Linked DNA regions of Daphnia pulex. The protein of the gene in region 1 purifies or fractionates together with the protein of each later gene. This does not show direct contact. Links are inferred from orthologs where the notes say so. Each region holds a gene or a part of one and is shown on either strand. Other genes may lie near its edges.

Region 1 (4,411 bases):
AAAGGGGGACACCAGCTGGGCAGCTGGTCCCTTCCAAAACATTCGAAAACCAGGAAAAATGTTTCTCAGTTGTTACGTGTGTTCAACAATGCGAGGATGAACGAACAGACAAGATGTAGGAAACTCTCCAGCAGGCCCTTTAACAACCGAAGAAGAAGAAGGGTGAGAATGACTCGGTTGGTTGGCAGCGAAAAAAGAAAAGAGATGAAAAACACAATTCCACGATGGCCGATTATGGCATAATTGGATACACCAGCAGGTCTCGAGAGAAAAAAGGGAATTACCGTATACTTATATGGGCTGGTCATCAGCAGGGCGAAGCCATAGGGTTGTTGGATACGTTTGAAAGTATAGAAAAACATGTATATACTTAAATATTGGGAAGCGAGTTCTTCTCCAGCGGCCATTTAGACACATTTCCAGTTTCTTCTTCACGTCCTCGAGGGGCTTTGGGAGTCCTTTTTTTTTCTATTATCAGCTATAAAGTTAAGCTTCGAGAACCTAAAAGAAAAGAAAAATAAAATGAAAAAGAATCCATTTTGAAGGGCATTTCGACTATATAACACTGGCAGACATCCCCAAGTTCTTTTCTTCAAGATTTTGACTTTCAAGGCCACAAGATTATTCCACAACAGCATCATTATTCACGACACATCGTGTCCAATTGGATATCACATGGTTTTTTGGCCACCTCGAAAGCGTTATTATGAAAATTTCGCGTCAAGAATGACTTAACACGTGGGGAGAGATAACTATTTACACACACACACCAGCTGATTGACCATGTCGAATTTATTAACCTTGGATTGATCTTAATTCATTCAGACATGTGGCGATTGAAATGCATCGCCGACATAATCTAGTTTGATTGCCAAAATTGATTGCAAACCAGTTGCCACTTACTTATGGCAGAAATGTGATGTGTTGCACACGTCGTCGATCTCGGCCATTGTGGTCGAATATCGTCGATAAAGGAGACGGTGACGTTTGGTTATTTCACGGCTCGTTGCAATAGCTCAACTTTCGATTTTATTCCACTCCGTTTCACTTCATCCAAGGGCTTCATCATCCGTGTAAACATCACTTTCCAACATTGTTGTTTTTTTAATGCAAGAGTTTCACATTCCACGAGCATTTTGATTCTGGCAAAACGTCTTCTTCGAAATCCCGACCTCATTTTCACCCAGCCAAAACATTGCCAATTATCTTGAATTCGGAAGAAAAGGGGGAAACAAAAACACGTTTCGTTCCAATCTTTTGAAATCATTATATAAAATGAGGTTATCTCCTGGGGAATTGCTTCCTGCACCAAAAAAAAAGTTCACTAGTCCATGTATTATTTCCGAACAAAAGCTAGCGGTTACCACATTTCCGGCGGCCAGGATATAATTGATTTGTTGTCTGCGGTTTTCACACAAAAATCTCCCTCCATTTTTCCTCAAAAAAATCTTGTCTGCTCAACGTTGCACGAGGTTGTTATTTTGGACAGAAGATGGCGATGGCGCTTTACCATTTTAGCAGAATAAATTTTTTTTTTTGGCCTACAGAAAAGGAAAGAAGCTATGGCGTTTAGATAAATTGTTTCTTCTTGAGAAAGCCGTCGAGGTTGGGCTTGTAGAGGCCGAAATTTATTAATTTTCTATAAGGTCTCTATTAAAACGTGTGGAATTATAAAGCCGCCAACATTTTGCCCAAGTCTAATTCACCGTCGGTGGCCATGTCGGCTGCCCATGGCTGTCTCCACTTGAACAACTTCAAAGCGGCCAAGGGGACTAGGCCCTACCGGCTCATTCATTCCTTTTTTGTGGCATGCACATCTTCAGAAGCCCGTAAACGCAAGGTAAGAGTTCAAGTATTGTTTCTTTTAAATCACTCCTTTACTCATCATTTTTGTTGCTAGGCCAAATCGTGTGTGTGTCATGTCTGTCAGCGAAGAGGACCCAGGCTTCATGCCTGCCTTCACTGCATTTTCTTTGGCTGCTATGGTGCTGGTCACATACAGGCCCACTCTCAGCAGCGGAAACATTTCTTAGGTAATTCGACAACCAAAAATCAAATCTCATTGATACTAATGCAGCCTCCTTTTTTTTACAGCTGTAGATCTGACTTATGGAGTTGTGTGCTGCTTTCAGTGTGGGGATTACGTCTATGACCGAGAATTGGAAACTATTGCTCAAAAGCATCAAACCAAAGCTTCTCTCTCCTTGGGACTGGGTCAAGTCTATCATTCATGGGAACCTTCTGAGGAAGAAATTGAGCTCCTCAAAAAGCATACACGACGCAAGAAGATCACAGACTCTGCCACTATCGGTTCATTATTTAAAAAAATTCATTATCCAATCTTTTATCTTAACTCCATGTTTCATTCATGGCAGGACTCAGAGGTCTAGTGAATTTGGGCAACACCTGTTTCATGAACTGCATAGTACAGGCTCTCTTAAAAGTACCTCTTCTCAGAGATTTCTTCTTGTCGGATCGTCATATTTGTCAGTTCCAAGACGAACCGAGTCGCTGTCTGGTCTGCGAAATCTCTCGCCTATTCCAAGAGGTATGTCATCCAAAAAACAAGAATCCTCGTTTCCTGTGAGAAATCTATTTTCGGATTCATAACACTCCTACTAGACTTATCGCTTCTTTTTTAATCTTCTCTTTCGCAGTTCTATTCGGGGAACAAGGCTCCTCTGACATTGCACCGACTTCTTCACTTGATATGGACTCACGCTCGTCATTTAGCTGGATATGAACAGCAAGACGCCCACGAATTTTTCATAGCAACTTTGGATGTACTCCATCGACACTGCAGGTGAAATTATTCATTGGCTATAAAAGTCGTGAGAAACGTGACATTCTAAATATAAATGATTTTTAACAGAGGACCAAATGAGCAACAGTCGACTCAGCCTCAAGAGAACTCTGTCAATCGGTGCACATGTATCATAGATCAAATTTTCACTGGTGGTTTGCAGTCAGACGTCGTTTGTCAAGCTTGCCAGTAATAACTATTTCAAATGTTTGATGTCCTAAATTTGCTGGTCTTAACGGTTATTTTGTTTTTGTTCACTGCAGCGGTGTCTCTACAACAGTAGATCCTTTTTGGGATATTTCCCTGGACCTCGGTCCGTCACCCAGCACGAAAGTCGTCACCACTGGCAACGGCCCTGGATCGATTCCCACTTCCTTGCAGGACTGTTTGGAGCGATTCACCCGGGCAGAGCACTTGGGATCTTCGGCTAAGATCAAGTGTTCGCGATGTCTTAGCTACCAAGAATCCACAAAACAACTGACGATGAAGAAACTGCCAGTGGTTGCTAGTTTTCACCTAAAGGTGCGTATTGTTTTGTTTTTTTATTGACTTTGAACGTCATATTATGAACCACTCATCGTTATTTTTTTCTTTACTTTATGCAGCGCTTTGAACATTCCAATCGATTCCATAAGAAGATCTCGTCATTCATCGCCTTTCCAGAATACCTGGACATGAGTCCATTCATGTCCCACCGTCGAAACATCAATAACAACGTCAATTCGGATTCTCCGGACCGGGCTGATAGGCCCGTCCACAAGCCCCTTATTTCCACTGAAAACATGTAAACTTGTTGCTCGGTTTATTGAGAAAACGACCGAATGTGACTGTGACGGAATCCTCGTTGCTTCCTTCCTTCTCACCCCACCAGGTATTCTCTATTTGCTGTGATCAACCACGTCGGAACCATTGAAGCCGGTCACTACACGGCCTACATCCGGCAGCACCGAGACCATTGGTTCAAGTGCGATGACCATCTCATCACCAAAGCTGATATTCGCGACGTCCTCCAAAGTGAAGGGTATCAAATATTCCACAAAAACAAACTTAGTTTAAAATATTTTGCAATTTGCTTGGTTGTTCTTGGATATTAATTGGGTGATTTGGTTTTTCAGGTACCTACTCTTCTACCACAAGATGATATTGGAGTATGAATAGAAATGGAGAAGAAAAATGTTTGTAAAGGGCAGCTCAACCGAGTCAACTTTTTTTTTTTTGCATGCAACATCCATCCCTCCATTCACAAGACCTTTTTTTTGTTTGTTTTGTTTTTCCTTTTTTAATTTCCCTTTCTCACTTCCACTTCCAGACAGTTCATCGGCGGTTAATGACCGTAGAAAACGACCATTTTCATTTTTTCTTTTTTCACGATTCAATAAAATATGAAAAAAACACAAAATGGTTAGAACAAGGAATTGAAAGACGAAAAAAAAAGCGAGATTTCTCTGACATAAACCCTCCCATTGGTGTTTCTGCCCTTTGGATTCTTTTGATTGTAAATCCCAAGCAACTCTCTCTCCACCCCGCTCCTCCTTCGATCAAAGGTATATATAGTCATTTCCGGCTATTCTCCACCCGAACCCCTTCTCCCGAATCCGAATCACATAC
Region 2 (4,544 bases), on another chromosome or scaffold:
ATTGAGAACCGAACGTAAAGCTTGATATAATTGCTCTGCATCAAAAGTCTCTTCGATTAGACGCTTAGATCCGTAGCCATTGGATGGTCGCCAGCCCGTCAATTTCAGTCCGGGAATACTGTCAATAGGAATCTCTCGAACACCATCTTTAAAGCAATTGAGACCTGGATGAACTTGGCTAATTTCTTGCTGCTTCATTTCAATTAGATGTTTGACAATCTAAAAATTAAAAAAAAAAAAAACAATTAAGAAAGGAACAATAATGTTGGATATTAAATCTGGGTAAGACCTCTTTCTGCTTTCGAATGATTGCGGTAAACTCTGTGTAAATAATACGGGGATTTAACTCGCATCCCATTAGAGTTGCTCCTTCGTAGTCCTTGATGTAACCGTTATAAACGGACTTTGGAAGCTTTATTTCTTTACTAAACCCTTGTTTCTTGAAATAACCTGCACATCACACTGCATTAGGAAAATTATTTGAAAATAAAAAATTTTGTTTGCTCACCAATGGCGTATTCGTCGGCAAAGGTAAGAAAGTGAAGTACATTGTGTTTGATATGGTAATCCTTAATGTGATTCATCAAGTGAGTTCCGTACCCTTTAACCTGCTCTGAGGAGGTAACGGCACAGAATACGATCTCGGTGAAACCTTGGATGGGGAACATTCGAAAACAGATACCACCGATTGGTCGACCATCTTTGATCAACGCCAAAGTCCGATGCTTGCTACACGTAAATTGGATAACATTTGTAACTTTGGTGATTTAAAGTATAAGAGACAAAATTTAGGACTCACCAATCGAAAACCAACCGTGTGATGTATTCTTTCGGCATTCGTGGTAATTGATGCGAAAAAACATTTTGTAACCCAACCAACCATGACATGGTTTGTTTGGATACGGTCTGAGTAAGAGAATTTCCCACTACGTGAAAGGATATCAAACCACGACGTTCTTCCTGTTTTGCCGCTTCGTCTCTTGGTGCATTTTCTGGGAAGACGCTCTGGAAAACCAAAATAAAGCTCTGTTTAGAAGAGCTTAATTCTTTACACGTAAGAAATTTGTTGGCTTACTTCGGGACCAAGCATCTTTTTGGGGTCATTAATTACGGCAAGAATTGTGGCGACAGTTTCTTCAGATATGTCATGATCCAAACGTACCCTTTTCGCATCACCTTCCACACTAGGTTCGCTGTCAACTTGCCGCTTTAACAAGTTCCTAATTAAAATTGAAAATTATTTCCATGTAGACATAGGGTGGACATGAAGTTTCGACATTACTTTTCTACATCTTTGGAAATTGATCTGACAATCCCGCTGTTTGTCAAACGATGGAAGGTTGCTTCGTTGCTGGACTGGGTTACATTTTCCTCTAATATCAAGAATTATCAAGAATTAGATTAAACATTAATAAGTTGGAAAGCAATGAAATAAATACCTTTGATGTTCTCCTGTTGATTTGGGAGTCGATGAACATACGACGGATCCCACACAGGCGATGCATCATTTCCTAGTTCCATTTCCATGTCTGCCAAGAACTTCGGAAAATTATTTATGATCATATCCCGTCGTTCGGGTGGCAGTCGGTCTTTCTCGGCTAAGAAACGATCCATGAGCTGTCGCTGCACGGTGGAATAGACCAGTCGAAGAAAGGACCGACCAAAAATAGCACTAGTTTCATATTGCGGTAGGGAGTCGCAATAGCTCGGAACATTGCAATAGCATAACCACCTGCCAGAGTGTAATATTTTTAAGTTAAAAATAAAATTTCAAAAGCTAATTTAAACTGAAAATAGGTTTACCTCGTGTAACTAATTCGATACACGGAGAGGTCAGCTTGTGGATAATGTTGTTTCCACTGAGTAGGGGTTTCCAATTTCCAGTGATTTAAACAGTGGATAAACATTTTGGCAAGATCACACATTTTTTGAAACTCCTATGAACACAATAAATTTAATTTAATGTTTTAAAGGATAACTTTGATTTCTTACCTTGGGGATTTGTTGACTGTATTTGAACATGACAAAATTAGTAACACCCTTGCTAATACTTAGTTTTTCAAAGGGTGGAGAGCCTAAAGGCCCTTCTACAACTGGTTTTGTCATCTGCATTATACATTTCCTCAAGAGCTATATTCCAAAAAAATAAGAAAATTTAAGAAAACATTTTTATAATACTTGTTTCACTAAAATGATTTCAAATGTTATTACTTTAAAAAGGCAAAAGTAGACTTGTTTGTTGTCTGGATCTTCTTCCTTGTTAACACAGACAAATAAATTTTCTATGTCCACTACCAGACTTAAAAGTTGGTTTAGTTCTTCATTACTGGAATTTATCAAGTGAGATACATGATCTGAAAGGTTATGTGAACAACTGCGGCATGGATCAGTTAAATTTGCTGATGGAAGAACCACATTTATTCCTGTATTGTTGACATTTGGTGGTGTAGTAGGATTTTTCCATCCATTGCATTTGCAATTTTCATCAAACTGAAAAAATAATTATGGAGAAATGTCTCAGTTAAGTGGTTCTTCATTATAAAAATAAAAATAATCTTAAGAAATAAAGCATGTTCATTATAGAACATTGAAAATGAAAACCCACCTTGCAACTTGAATAAACAGCTAGCTTTTCCAATTTCTTAGGATGTGGCCATTCACGAACCTGCTGCTTCCGCAGTTGAATTTTTTGAATGTTGTTCATACGATTCGTACCAACGCCAGCAGCTGAGTTGTTATTTGCCGCAACTGGGTTAGAAGTGTCAGTCATATTGGAAATGTTTTTATTCTTGAAATTCACGGGAAACCAAAATCTGATATCCTTTCTTGTAGTTGTACATCACTTTTAGTGAACGTCATAAATATACTAACTGAACTCAGAAGTACGCAATTAGGGGAATTACGGGGATTTCTAGCAGAAATCCAGGCGCGTCGCGAAAATTTTTGTTTACCCCCGGTGGCGCAAGATTGCCACATTTACCTTTATCCTTATGTTTTTGGGAACGGAAAAACGAAACATAAAAATTAATTTTATGAAGAAAAGATTTTTTAAAATTTAAACTTGACATAAGACAGCAAGTGAGAAACTAAAAAACTGTCGAAAAAAACAAGTGAAGAAAATCGCCTTTTAAAATACGATTTGAAAAAATCCGACACTGATGTTTGACTCCAACTTCACTTAACAACAAGTCAACAACATAAGAAATTATGAATTTACGTCTGAAGATTTAAAAAATTTACCCTGTTTACGAAATCTGTTTCTTGAAGGACTAAACTTCAGGTGTACTTTCCTGTGTAATTGTATGGGGGAATAACCTGGATGTAAATATGGATCACGAAGAAGTAAGCAAATCTATTAGCAGACCATGAATCGCACATAATTTTCGTTTTTACTTACAGCGGCTGAAAGCGTCATTGCATTTTACCGTGGGTAAAATGTGTGAAGAACAGGAAGCTAGAACTCACATTAGTTTTGACAAGCATGTGATAGCAACAATAAATGAAATTGTCTGGCAAAAGATCAAGCTGGTTACACAAGATTTGGAAGCTTTTGCCAAGTATTAATTTTCTTGATCGCTTATGTTAAAATAAGATGTATGCATTGTTATTTACATTTGTTTATTGAGGCATGGAAAGCGCACAACAATCAATGGAGATGATGTGAAGCTGCTGGTTCGAAGGAATGAAGATTTAGTAAGTATTCAAGTAAAAACATTGTGAGAAGCCAATTGAGTCCATTGAAAAATTATTACAGAAAGCCATAGTAGAAACACTAGGATCAACCAACTCAGAGGATAATGCAAAAATAGACAAGGGGAAAGCATTGGTGAAGAAGAAGAAAATCGAGACTGTTCCACCAGAAGTGACTCTGGACACAGATGATGATGACATGTTCACATGACTATGATCTAAGCTGTATTGTTCTACATCAGGGAAGACAGTCGTTTTGTGCGTTTGGGAGGATTATGTGGTATGCGGAACATCAAAAATAATTAAAATAAACGACGCTTCTAAATCGCCGCAAATAGAAACACCGAATACATATTAAGAGGCGTAGAAATTCCAACCGATTATTATTTTTTTTATGGCTACCAAATAAATGGTCGAATGTCGTTTAATTGTGTCCTGTCGTCAGGCACTCGTCATTTAATACAGAGTTACATAGCGGAAATATATTTTTTTAAAAGTCACCGACACATTTTCCTTGTTTAGTTTCCCTTCCATTTGTCTTCTAAAACGTGAAATATTTTCTTTAAAGCTCGGTCGAAGTGGTGGAAGTCAACGCATTGACTCTTATGGCATTGCAGGATTTACACAGGACACGCCCATCCAACGGGTAACAACCGCGCCCTTCAGCTTCCGACGATAGAACTAAATCGCAGTCCTAATATCCCAAAAAACCATGTTAGGATGTTGACAATTAGAAAAGTAAATATATGCCAAGTTACCTCGCATTTGTAACATTGTACGTGAAAGCTCCGATCCAGAGCGACAACACGAACAGTTTCTTCCTGTCCAGGCTCTGGCATGATGGGATCGTGACA

What was found.
Region 2: the proteins of ubiquitin carboxyl-terminal hydrolase 22-like (region 1) and histone acetyltransferase KAT2A-like purify together in Drosophila melanogaster (affinity purification with western blotting, with the first as the bait; 3 studies listed by BioGRID). This does not show direct contact. The link is inferred for Daphnia pulex from reciprocal best matches to the Drosophila melanogaster genes not and Gcn5.

What each region holds. Positions count from the first base shown.
Region 1 is NC_060023.1:10,811,671-10,816,081, forward strand, and holds the start of ubiquitin carboxyl-terminal hydrolase 22-like, read left to right. Parts: upstream 1-1,502; 5' UTR 1,503-1,717; coding exon 1,718-1,840; intron 1,841-1,900; coding exon 1,901-2,033; intron 2,034-2,094; coding exon 2,095-2,310; intron 2,311-2,375; coding exon 2,376-2,548; intron 2,549-2,657; coding exon 2,658-2,803; intron 2,804-2,872; coding exon 2,873-2,992; intron 2,993-3,066; coding exon 3,067-3,325; intron 3,326-3,408; coding exon 3,409-3,587; intron 3,588-3,674; coding exon 3,675-3,824; intron 3,825-3,918; coding exon 3,919-3,961; 3' UTR 3,962-4,411. UniProt on the Drosophila melanogaster protein: Histone deubiquitinating component of the transcription regulatory histone acetylation (HAT) complex SAGA. Catalyzes the deubiquitination of histone H2B, thereby acting as a coactivator in a large subset of genes.
Region 2 is NC_060028.1:7,764,717-7,769,260, forward strand, and holds the start of histone acetyltransferase KAT2A-like, read right to left. Parts: upstream 2,959-4,544; 5' UTR 2,771-2,958; coding exon 2,606-2,770; intron 2,491-2,605; coding exon 2,212-2,490; intron 2,131-2,211; coding exon 1,993-2,130; intron 1,938-1,992; coding exon 1,804-1,937; intron 1,733-1,803; coding exon 1,440-1,732; intron 1,374-1,439; coding exon 1,283-1,373; intron 1,221-1,282; coding exon 1,076-1,220; intron 1,006-1,075; coding exon 800-1,005; intron 730-799; coding exon 509-729; intron 451-508; coding exon 290-450; intron 220-289; coding exon 1-219. Other genes in the region: centromere protein S-like, read left to right, coding at 3,328-3,342, 3,400-3,557, 3,627-3,693, 3,755-3,901; thyroid receptor-interacting protein 6-like, read right to left, coding at 4,253-4,384, 4,449-4,544.